Linked DNA regions of Saccharomyces cerevisiae S288C. The gene in region 2 interacts genetically with the main gene of each other region. Each region holds a gene or a part of one and is shown on either strand. Other genes may lie near its edges.

Region 1 (4,191 bases), on a different chromosome or scaffold from region 2:
TGTAATGATTCCATTAGTTTGTGTTGAGATAGACACCGGTTCATTAGTGCGGTTCGCTGCTTGATAACAGCGATCGCATTTTCTGGTGAGTCCGCATACGCCATTGTGTTTTTCAGCTTCTTCTTTCTCGTCCTCCTCCTTTTATCGTTATATATTAACTTCACTGGGCCTTGTTGAGTGGTCGCACATACACCACCTTCTTTTTTTTTTTCTCTCTTTTCTTCTCTTTACTGAGGTGGCCCTTGAATAAATACAGCACTTTCTCGCATCTACCTCAACTGAAAAAAAAAAAAAAAAATAAAAAACGCCCCTTTAAGACGAAGTGACAAAGAGGCAATAGTTCAAAAGAAAAAAAAAAAATATAAAGACTGTTGATAGTTGAATTTTTATAAACGTTATGTTAAGTATATGTATTGATGGAAGGGATAATAGGATAATGGTGAATGTCTTGTTTTTTTATAGGTAGGCGGAAAAAGAAAAAGAGAGTCGTTGAAATGAGATTACAACAATCTCTCTTCGAATCTTAGTTCGTTTTGAGAAGGCAATCCAATCAACAATCTTAAAAAATTTTCTAAGGCGGTTCTTTGCTTGTTTAAGCCATTCACCGGGTGAAATCCTGGTCTTGTTAATGGAGCTTTTAACCAGTAACTCAAGAAGGTTAAAACTGGATAAAAGTTCTCGAATTTGCCAGCATCTTCTTTAACTGGGTCCACCTTCTTATAGGACACTCTTGTACAAAACTCAGTCATGACTAAAAGATCGATGATCAAGGGCGTAGCCAGTAAAGAATCTTCGCAAACATTGTGAATGGAAATCCGGTTATGGCCACCTAACATCAACTCACTGTAATACTCGTCCATTGCCACTTTTGAGTCCCCGACGGGCTTCATATATTTGATGACAATGCAGTGGTCAACTTTTTTACCCAGTTTATCATTGTACAAGATATCATTAGACGCGATGATGTCATCTATGACAGAACTTTTGGAAATCTCCTTAGACCTAAATTGTTTTGGAGCAGATAAGTTATAACCGTCATTATTGCCTAAATGGTTATAGGATGCAATGGAGACCGGTTTAATACCTGCATCCACTAAGAACTGGGCCAGAACAGACTTCAACTTGGTTTGTCCCGACTTGAGATCGTCTCCCGCAATGAATGTACCCTCATGCTCAGCCAGCTGAACCAAGCCGGGAACAAAAGTATTCTGCGGTGAACCATTAATATAGGGGACACCTTCCAAGATAGATGCTGCTGCAAAGATCGTGGAAGGAGCAATCTCTTCATGGTCATTCTTAATAGACTGCAAGAGGTTTTCCATGGTGTCATTAACACCAGGAGATACTTCTACGTACCTCTCAGTATTTGCAGTCCAAAGAACGATTACTTTATCAAGGGCGTTTTCTTCTTTGAAATTCTGGATATCGCGTCTGATGCGTTGCAGATGGGTCCACTTACCCCTCGTGGTTACGTTGCCTTTTTCATCCAAATTGATGCAGTTATTGGCTCTCTCATCTTGATTAGCTGCAATGAAATCAGGGTAGTAAATGGAAGGAAGAGGCTTCACCAAGGACATCTTCGCCTTCAAGCGTTGTTGCAGATCATATTCGAGAACTTGACTTCTCTGCATAGCTTCGTATAGATCTGCGTTATTGATGTCCCAACCAGAGACGACAAAGTCGTTTGGGCTAACCATGGGCAACAGAGAGTTAAAAGGAGCATAAACGTCATTCCCCTCCGCATCGATACCCAGTTTCAAGGTAGAACATTGAGTCATGGAGCCGAAGTAGTTTGGTTGCTTAACGCCTTCCTTAGTTTGAAACTCCACATTGTGCTTATTCGCCAATACCGAGGCCACTAAAGTGGAGCCATTGTTGCCACCTAACCCAATGAGCATAATTCCTAGTTTTTCCGGCTTTTTCAAGTCAAGTTTGAACACGTAGTCTTGAACAGTGGGCGTTACATCGAAGCGGCCACTAGCTGTCTTCGTAACTACAGCATTTTCGTAGCTGTACTTGGTGAGCAGCTCGTTGTCCTTGTACGTGCACTTGTCGGTAACTACTTTAACGGAGGTGATTGGAGCAATATTATCTTCTGTCATTGTTACTTCTTTTTCACTGGAAAAAAAAGGGAATGAAACAGAATAAATCAAGGATAAAACTAACATTAGGAACCCGACAACAGAACAAGCCAAAAAAAGGTGACGAAAGCTCCAATTTATATACGTCTCAAATTAACATTGCCGCCAACGCAGAGGTGCGCTTTCTCTGCTCCATGTGAATTAAATAAGTTCAATATTCTGGGAAAGAAGGATGAAGATAAAATAGACAATACTTTTCACATGCCGCATTTAGCCGCCGAAGCGCATACTTGGCCTCCGCATATTTCACATTCAACACTTTCGATTCCGCATCCAACCCCGGAACACCGGCACGTATTTCATAAAAAGGACGTGAAGAACAAAAGGAACGAAGAAAAAGGCAATAATTTACTCTATGTGTTATTTAGAACTACGGTGATAAAGAGCTCGTTCCGATCACTAAGTACGGCCGGAAGAGAGCTGTTGTTTGTTGTCCATCAAGGGCACATCGGCACCGGCCTCATCGTCTTCATCATATGCTGGAGGCTGTGCTTGAGATTCCTCTGCAGGGTGAGCTTCCAGGTCACGGTCTACGGCGGGCGCAGTCGCATGTCTGCGTGAAAGATCGTACGAACGTTCACTACTCGTTTCATATACAACGTAGCAAGCGTGAATGATTGCTGGGAAGAATAACAGTAGGAAGAGAAGTAAGTTCAATAGTGTATCCCTGTTGAACATACCCTTACGCTTCCAGACGGCCACTGGGGGAATGAAAACCGCCAAAACCATTAACAACAAGTCGTCCTTGTTGATGGAATAGCTCATTCGATGGTCATGGTCATTAATATGGTCTCTGTCCATTTCTAAATTATATTTGGTTGTTTGCTTTCTGCTGGGTTTTTATTTTTTAACCTAGCCCCTTTCCTGCAGCTGGCTCATTCGTGCTGTACTCTCTTTCCTTTATATACTAGTGAGACCTTTTCCCCCGTTCCCAAAAAGAAAAAAAAAAAAAAAAAAAGAAAACGAGCCTTCATCACGTGCATTAAAGAAATAGTAATCCCAACGCACTCATCCGCTATATACATAGCGAAAAACTATATGCCCACTTCACAAATACGAGTTTGCATGTATAATATATAAGATTTATAAATGTTGTAGGGTGAATGTAAACGTTCAGTAATATACCGGTATATCTATCAAGATACGATCAATGCAACGCTTTACTGCACTGCACTACACCCCTTTTCCTCTACTTGTTTTTCTTAGTTCCTATTTCCCTCTCAAAATGCACCTGTTCACCAGAGTATTCTTTCTCATTGCAAGTATTACCCTACTTTATCGTCCCACACAAAGAGGAATATATATAGATTATAAGCGAATTGTAGATTTCGATGGAGATCTGATTTCCGTGCAAAATATCCAGGACGTCTATACACAGTGTTTACAACTCAGCTTATATTCATATCATGCCATTTCAAGATTATTTTCAGAAGAAAAAAGCAGCGTTCATTAACAGAAACAATAAAAGTAACGCAGATGCTTCAGCGCTACGAGATATTAACGATATTAACATAAATTTCGCCGCCAAGAGCAAAAACTACGTGTTCCCGCTAACAAAGCTCCCCGATGAGCTCATGCAAGAAGTATTCTCTCATTTGCCGCAACCAGACCGCTTGCAGCTTTGCCTTGTGAACAAAAGGTTGAATAAGATCGCTACCAAACTGCTTTATAGAAGAATATATTTGAACGACTCAAATGTAGTGAAGAGTGACTTCATGCATCTCGCAATTAATTGGACCCTACTGAACTTGCCGTCTTCGTTGAAAGAAGAGGAGTCCCGCGATATCGCCAACTGCAAATTGAAAAAACTTATAGAAACACTGCAAAATAATATTCACATTACTGAAGTCATCCAGTGGATAAGGATCAACTGGGATTTGGACTCTACCTTGCAAAGGTCCATTCTCAGCATCCTTTGCAATCAGGGCAAGTCCTTGCAAAGACTAGAAAACGTCACTGACCCGGCTTGTAACGATATCATCTCCAATGGTCACTTTTCCAGGAGCAACGTCTCAAGTTTCGACATGGCTCCTCCAAATTCATTGCCTGA
Region 2 (5,610 bases):
GCTATATACGCATTGTTGTAGCACTAAAGATCATATTGCTCATTAAGCATGGGTCCTGCCATACATAATCAACTATATGAATGTGGATTAAAGACTACGTCTCAAGATGGCTTCTTGATGGACAATTATGAAACTCAATTATTTCAATCGTTGAACAGGTTTATCAATTTCATAAACAATGCTAATCAGTCAGCTAGTAATAAAGAACAAAATACAAAATTTTGCAAATCCTCCTCAAATTTTTTACGCTTGAAACTACTAACGGTTCTAAGACAATGGTGTGATTCTTCACGAAGCAACTGTACACTGGAGGTTAGAGATGTTTTGACCCAATGGTGGGTCACACTTTTAAACTTTCTAAATTCTGACACCTCGCTTCAAATAGATACTGCCCTTGAATTGAGCTTGAGCATAGAACTAACTTCCGTGTGTCTCGAGTGCCTCAGCAAAATTATGACCATACTAATAATATTGCCTTTCCATTCATCCAGAGACATGGAAATATACTCACATCATCTTTTGCTGACCATTCATTGCATAACAAACAAGTTGATTTTGATTTCTAAAAACTCCAAAAAACTTAAACGTACAAATAGTGATGACAAGTGCTCTATAAACGACAAGAAGCTGCAATACCTTAACAAATATTCTTCCTTGCTGCGAGCATTCATCGGGAAGTTAAATGCTTACGCATTTTTTTATCTACCAGAAGACTTTCATTTCGATACAATTTTGTTATTGACAGTTTCTCCTCAAATCTCTTCAAGTATTCAAACATCTTTGTTTTCATGGAAGAAGAGACAATATAAATTCACCGACGATCAGGGACAAATGATCCGCACTGAAGCTTTTGAAAATAAAGATACTAAATTTTTTAAGATCATTGTTTCTTATATTAAAAATGATTTTGTACTTATGTCATTTTATTGGCACTATTGGTATATCATACTTCAATTTATGAAATTCTCTGATTCAGATGTAGGAATTAAAAAATCGACATTGTCATGCATACCTGGCTCAGAAATTTTATTGACGCATGTAACCACTAGATTCTTGAATTCAGATTTGAATAAATTCACGCGGATTATTAAACAAACGCCGAATCCAAGGATAGCAAATGAGAATGTGACAGAGTCACATCCAAATTTCAAGAGTTTGAATAGTAGCAATGCTTTAATTACATCTGAAAGGATTAATGATTACGTATTTTCTAATTTTAAGACAATCAAATTATGGGAATGTCTTAGAAGCCTTTCAGGATGCATTCTTAAAGAAAATCATCCGGAATACCTGGAAAATATGCTTTCCTTACATGAGTCTCTATTGATAGACTATGTCTCCACTATTTCAGCGTACGATTATATTGCAGCGAACGTCATTTACAATAAGGTTCTCCAGTTTATTATTTTCCAGTTTGAAAGTTTACCTTCTCTGAAATTCATTCAATGGAGGTCGTGGTACAATGGGCTTTTGAGTATGTTAAGGACCAAAAATGTTAACTGCCAGACTGTTTCTTTATTATGCCTTTTCAATATTTGGAAGCACGTAACCATTGAGGACCGCGATGAAATAGTAAAAGTGCTGTTAAGTGATTTTTGGGAGTCATTGATTTTTGAAAACGAATTTCCTTTGATTAGAATTTTATTTATGAAGGTATTAGTTTTTAAAATCATTCCAAGTGTTCAAAATTCTTCTTCATTACGATTCTTGCCACATGATAGAATTAAACAACTATATGAAGAGCTACTGGTAAACAAGGAGGAGTTATTTGAGATGCAAAAACACGATTCAAATGATATAGTGGCGCATAGAAAGAATGCTCTCGTTTTTAATGGTAACTCACGTTTGATGATGATTCCAAAAAAACCAAATACAGAGGACCACTTAGTTTATAAGATTAATCATGATAAAAATTTAACTACAGAAAGATTTCCCTCTGTCAGCTCAGTGGCAAATACAAGACCTAACGTTATCTTGAAAAATGGTAAATACGCTTATGATATTTTGGACGAAATGACAAGTAAAGCTGCCTTTCTTCTTGCAGAAAAGAAGACCCGACTAAATCCCAAAAAAAATCACAAAATTATGGATGGCTACGAAGGAGGTCAGGAAAACGAAGATAATGATGAAGACTCAGAAGATAGTGGCTCGCATAAAAATAAGAGAAAGGAAGGTAATAGTTCTTTATCGGCAACACTGAACACTTGGCTTTCAAAATTTTCAAGTACTTCTGAAGATTCACAGAAGAAGAAGGAACAGGCAAATGAATTAGGCAACGATTTTGAATATGATGAAGATGTGGCTGATTTTGCAGAAATTTTGCCGAAGCAGTCATCTAGTAATATTGAAAAAATTTTTAAGCATGGTAACAATTCAGGATCAATGGTATCATATAATTCAAGTATCAAGCTCAATAGGAGGGAGAATATATTGATAGGTCCACCAGAGTTGAGATTTTCTAATGAAATCAAGGAACACAATAGTATTGCTACAATATTCAAACTGGTATTTATTCAAACCAATAGAAGAGTCGTCGAAAAAATAGATTTGGCGAACATGAAATGGGGGACAATCCACGGAGGCAGTAAGTACATGAAGCCTTTACCCGTCCCGAAAGATTTGGTTGCGAGTGTTGCTAAGAACGAAAGTGAGACGAGAAACTTAGCTACCTTATGCGGTAATGGTCTAGATTTTGAGATACCGGTGCCTGATTTTAATATTTTTGGCAAATGTATGGAAGATGAGCAAGATGTAGCCAAAATTGGTAATCAGAATGTGGAAGATTTGAAAGTTACTGGGGGGCGGGAGGTGACAATTTGGAAGCAGATCCAAGATATGAAGTTGAGAACAAGGATACAAAAAATCTGTGTTTTAATTGAGACGTTCAATGCTACAGTAAGAGAATATTTTGAGTTTTCCAATCGATTAGAGCATGACGGTATATTTATAGATTTTGAAGTGAGGAAACCTAGTAGTAATAATTCTATTAATATCAAAGTCTGAATAATAGAATGAGTTACATACGTAAACGTGTAGTATTATTATTATTATTCTATTTCCTTTCCGTTTTTATTATTTATATATATATATATATATATATATATTTGGGTGTTTATATTTAGGTAGGGCATAAGGATTTACTGTCGGCATGAACCTACTTGAACAAAAAAATAAAAATCAAAAGAAAAATAATGTAGGCTTTTGCACATCGACTATATATAAATATATATATACACACTTCTGTGCAGAAGAAAAGGAATAAAACGTCAAACTAATTTATTTCTTCTTGCAACGATTCCGACTTCTCCTTTAAACGTGCAATTTCGTCATCGATGTCCTGAATTTTCTTCAATAGTTCAAAATTTTTCTCATCGCCGTGGTCATCCTTGGAAGCGCCGGATTGAGCAGCAGCTTCGGCAGTAACAGAGTCGTTCTTCTTGACATCGCTGGAGGCTACTGGAGGCGATGCTCTGTATATGTCTTTCATGGTTAAAAGTTCTATGACTAGCCCAAAAGTCCTAACGACGACAAAGGTCAAAAACAAAGTTATACCTGTCAAATACATATTCCTTTGGGCAAAGAATTTCCTAGAAAGAACCTCAATTCTATCTTGAGCGATTATAGCGCCATTATTTTGAGAGGCGCTACTTAACTGCAGCTCTTTGTCGATGCTGTACACTCTGTTGATACAATCGATGAAAAGCAAAAGAATGAACCCAAGTACACACTTGATCGCAACTTGCACTGTGGAGGATTTGAACGGCTTTAATAACAGTAAGGTGAGAGGCCTACGGTATCTAGAAGGGATTGGTAGGGCTAGAATGGAGAACATGAAAATCTCCACCACTAGAATGGCAAAAACCAAGGTGTAATATAATGACATGATTCAATTCTGTGAATTCTATGGTTATGAGTATAATGTGACGTGGTTACCTTGGAAGAGCTCACTATTCTATCTTCCTACTAAATCGGGATTTGCTATATACCATTGTTATATACGGCACTTTTCCACTCTTCTTCCCCTTAATGGAGTGAAGCAGGCAGGGTGACCCTCTAGCTAAAAAAAGAAAGAGGCGAAAAAAGAGTGCAACGTCAACAACGCTAAAAGAGAAAGGGAGAAACGCGCAAGTGTTTACGCATAGAGGGTGAACAGGAGCAAGAGCATTTTGATAGCACACAGACTTTTAATAATAAAGCGGCAGAGAATGACTCAAATAAATGCGCGATGATATTGGGAAGAGGCTCAAGCAATTCGTGAGGCGCAACCAACGCCAGTTTTTCGTTGCTCGTGCACAGTGACACGGTGGCAAAATGGTCGACGTTGGCGCTTGTTTCGGCCACTTTGTTATTCGGAAGAGATTTTATATATAAGGCGGGCGCGGTAGCCAGAAAAGAGCGAAAAAGAGAGAACGCGGAAAAACTGAAACAAACAGATTGAGCGAAATAAACCTCGGCGGCTATGTCTCGTACTAACATGGATACAAGACACGCACATTCTGCTTTACTGGCAGCACCACAGAGTGCTACTGCAAATAGCAGGAGCAGCAACAGCAGCAGCGAGAGTAGTAGTAACAAAAACAATATCAATGTCGGCGTCGGTGACGATAGCGGTAATGTCAGCGCGGTAAGTATCGACGATGGACCCCACTTCAGGGATATCTTCCACTATGGACACGAGGAAAATTACAAACTTGCGAGCAGCGGTATCACTAACCTGAATTCTTCATCCCACGCCCACCAAACTTTGTCTCCCATTTCCATTAGTAATGCATCCACTCCGGAAAGTTTTCCCGAGCACCCTTTGGGCCTAGAACGGGAAACAGAGCCGGCGTTGGAAGCTGAAATGGAAGCGGAGGAACTACCACCACACCAAAGTAAATACCTTTTAAGCTCCATTAAGGCGACCAAACGATTAAAAGATGCTAGACCGTTTCTGAAGCCGGTTGATCCTATTGCTTTGAACATCCCGCATTATTTCAACTACGTTCAAACCCCAATGGATTTGTCTTTAATTGAAACAAAATTGCAGGGCAACGTGTATCATTCAGTAGAGCAAGTCACATCGGACTTCAAAACAATGGTGGATAATTGTTTAAACTTTAATGGTCCAGAATCTTCAATCTCTTCGATGGCTAAAAGGATTCAAAAGTATTTTGAAAAAAAGTTATCTGCAATGCCACCAAGAGTTTTACCCGCTTCTGCCTTGAAGAAAACAAGCAGAAACCGGAAAAAAAATGAGGATATGGATTCCCCACTTGTCATTAGACGTTCAGTTAGTACCACCAATGACAATATTGGGGAAAGCGGAAATAGAGAAGGCGTCAGTGGTGGTAGACCCAAAAGAACAATTCATCCACCCAAATCAAAAGATTTGTTTGATATATATGAAAACTCCAAACCAAAATCAAAGACTTTACAAAAAAAATTCAGGACTTGTCTGAAAATACTAAAGGTTTTGATGAGTAAAAAAAATTCGGATATAAATTTTCCCTTTTTACAACCTGTTGATCCGATTGCTTTGAATCTACCAAATTACTTTGATGTCGTGAAGAATCCTATGGATTTGGGTACAATATCAAATAATTTAATGAACTGGAAGTACAAAACAAT

Evidence for each region. Genes that interact genetically often act in the same process or in processes that back each other up.
Region 1: of YET3 (region 2) and INO1, extra expression of one rescues a mutant of the other (dosage rescue), as found in Saccharomyces cerevisiae (one study listed by BioGRID).

Annotation. Positions count from the first base shown.
Region 1 is NC_001142.9:133,832-138,022, forward strand, and holds INO1 (inositol-3-phosphate synthase INO1), read right to left. Parts: upstream 2,103-4,191; coding exon 501-2,102; downstream 1-500. Other genes in the region: retromer subunit VPS35, read right to left, coding at 1-104; SNA3 (Sna3p), read right to left, coding at 2,541-2,942; SCF ubiquitin ligase complex subunit DAS1, read left to right, coding at 3,548-4,191. UniProt on the Saccharomyces cerevisiae protein: Key enzyme in myo-inositol biosynthesis pathway that catalyzes the conversion of glucose 6-phosphate to 1-myo-inositol 1-phosphate in a NAD-dependent manner. Rate-limiting enzyme in the synthesis of all inositol-containing compounds.
Region 2 is NC_001136.10:326,565-332,174, forward strand, and holds YET3 (Yet3p), read right to left. Parts: upstream 3,884-5,610; coding exon 3,272-3,883; downstream 1-3,271. Other genes in the region: AHK1 (Ahk1p), read left to right, coding at 49-3,003; BDF2 (Bdf2p), read left to right, coding at 4,460-5,610. UniProt on the Saccharomyces cerevisiae protein: May play a role in anterograde transport of membrane proteins from the endoplasmic reticulum to the Golgi. May be involved in invertase secretion.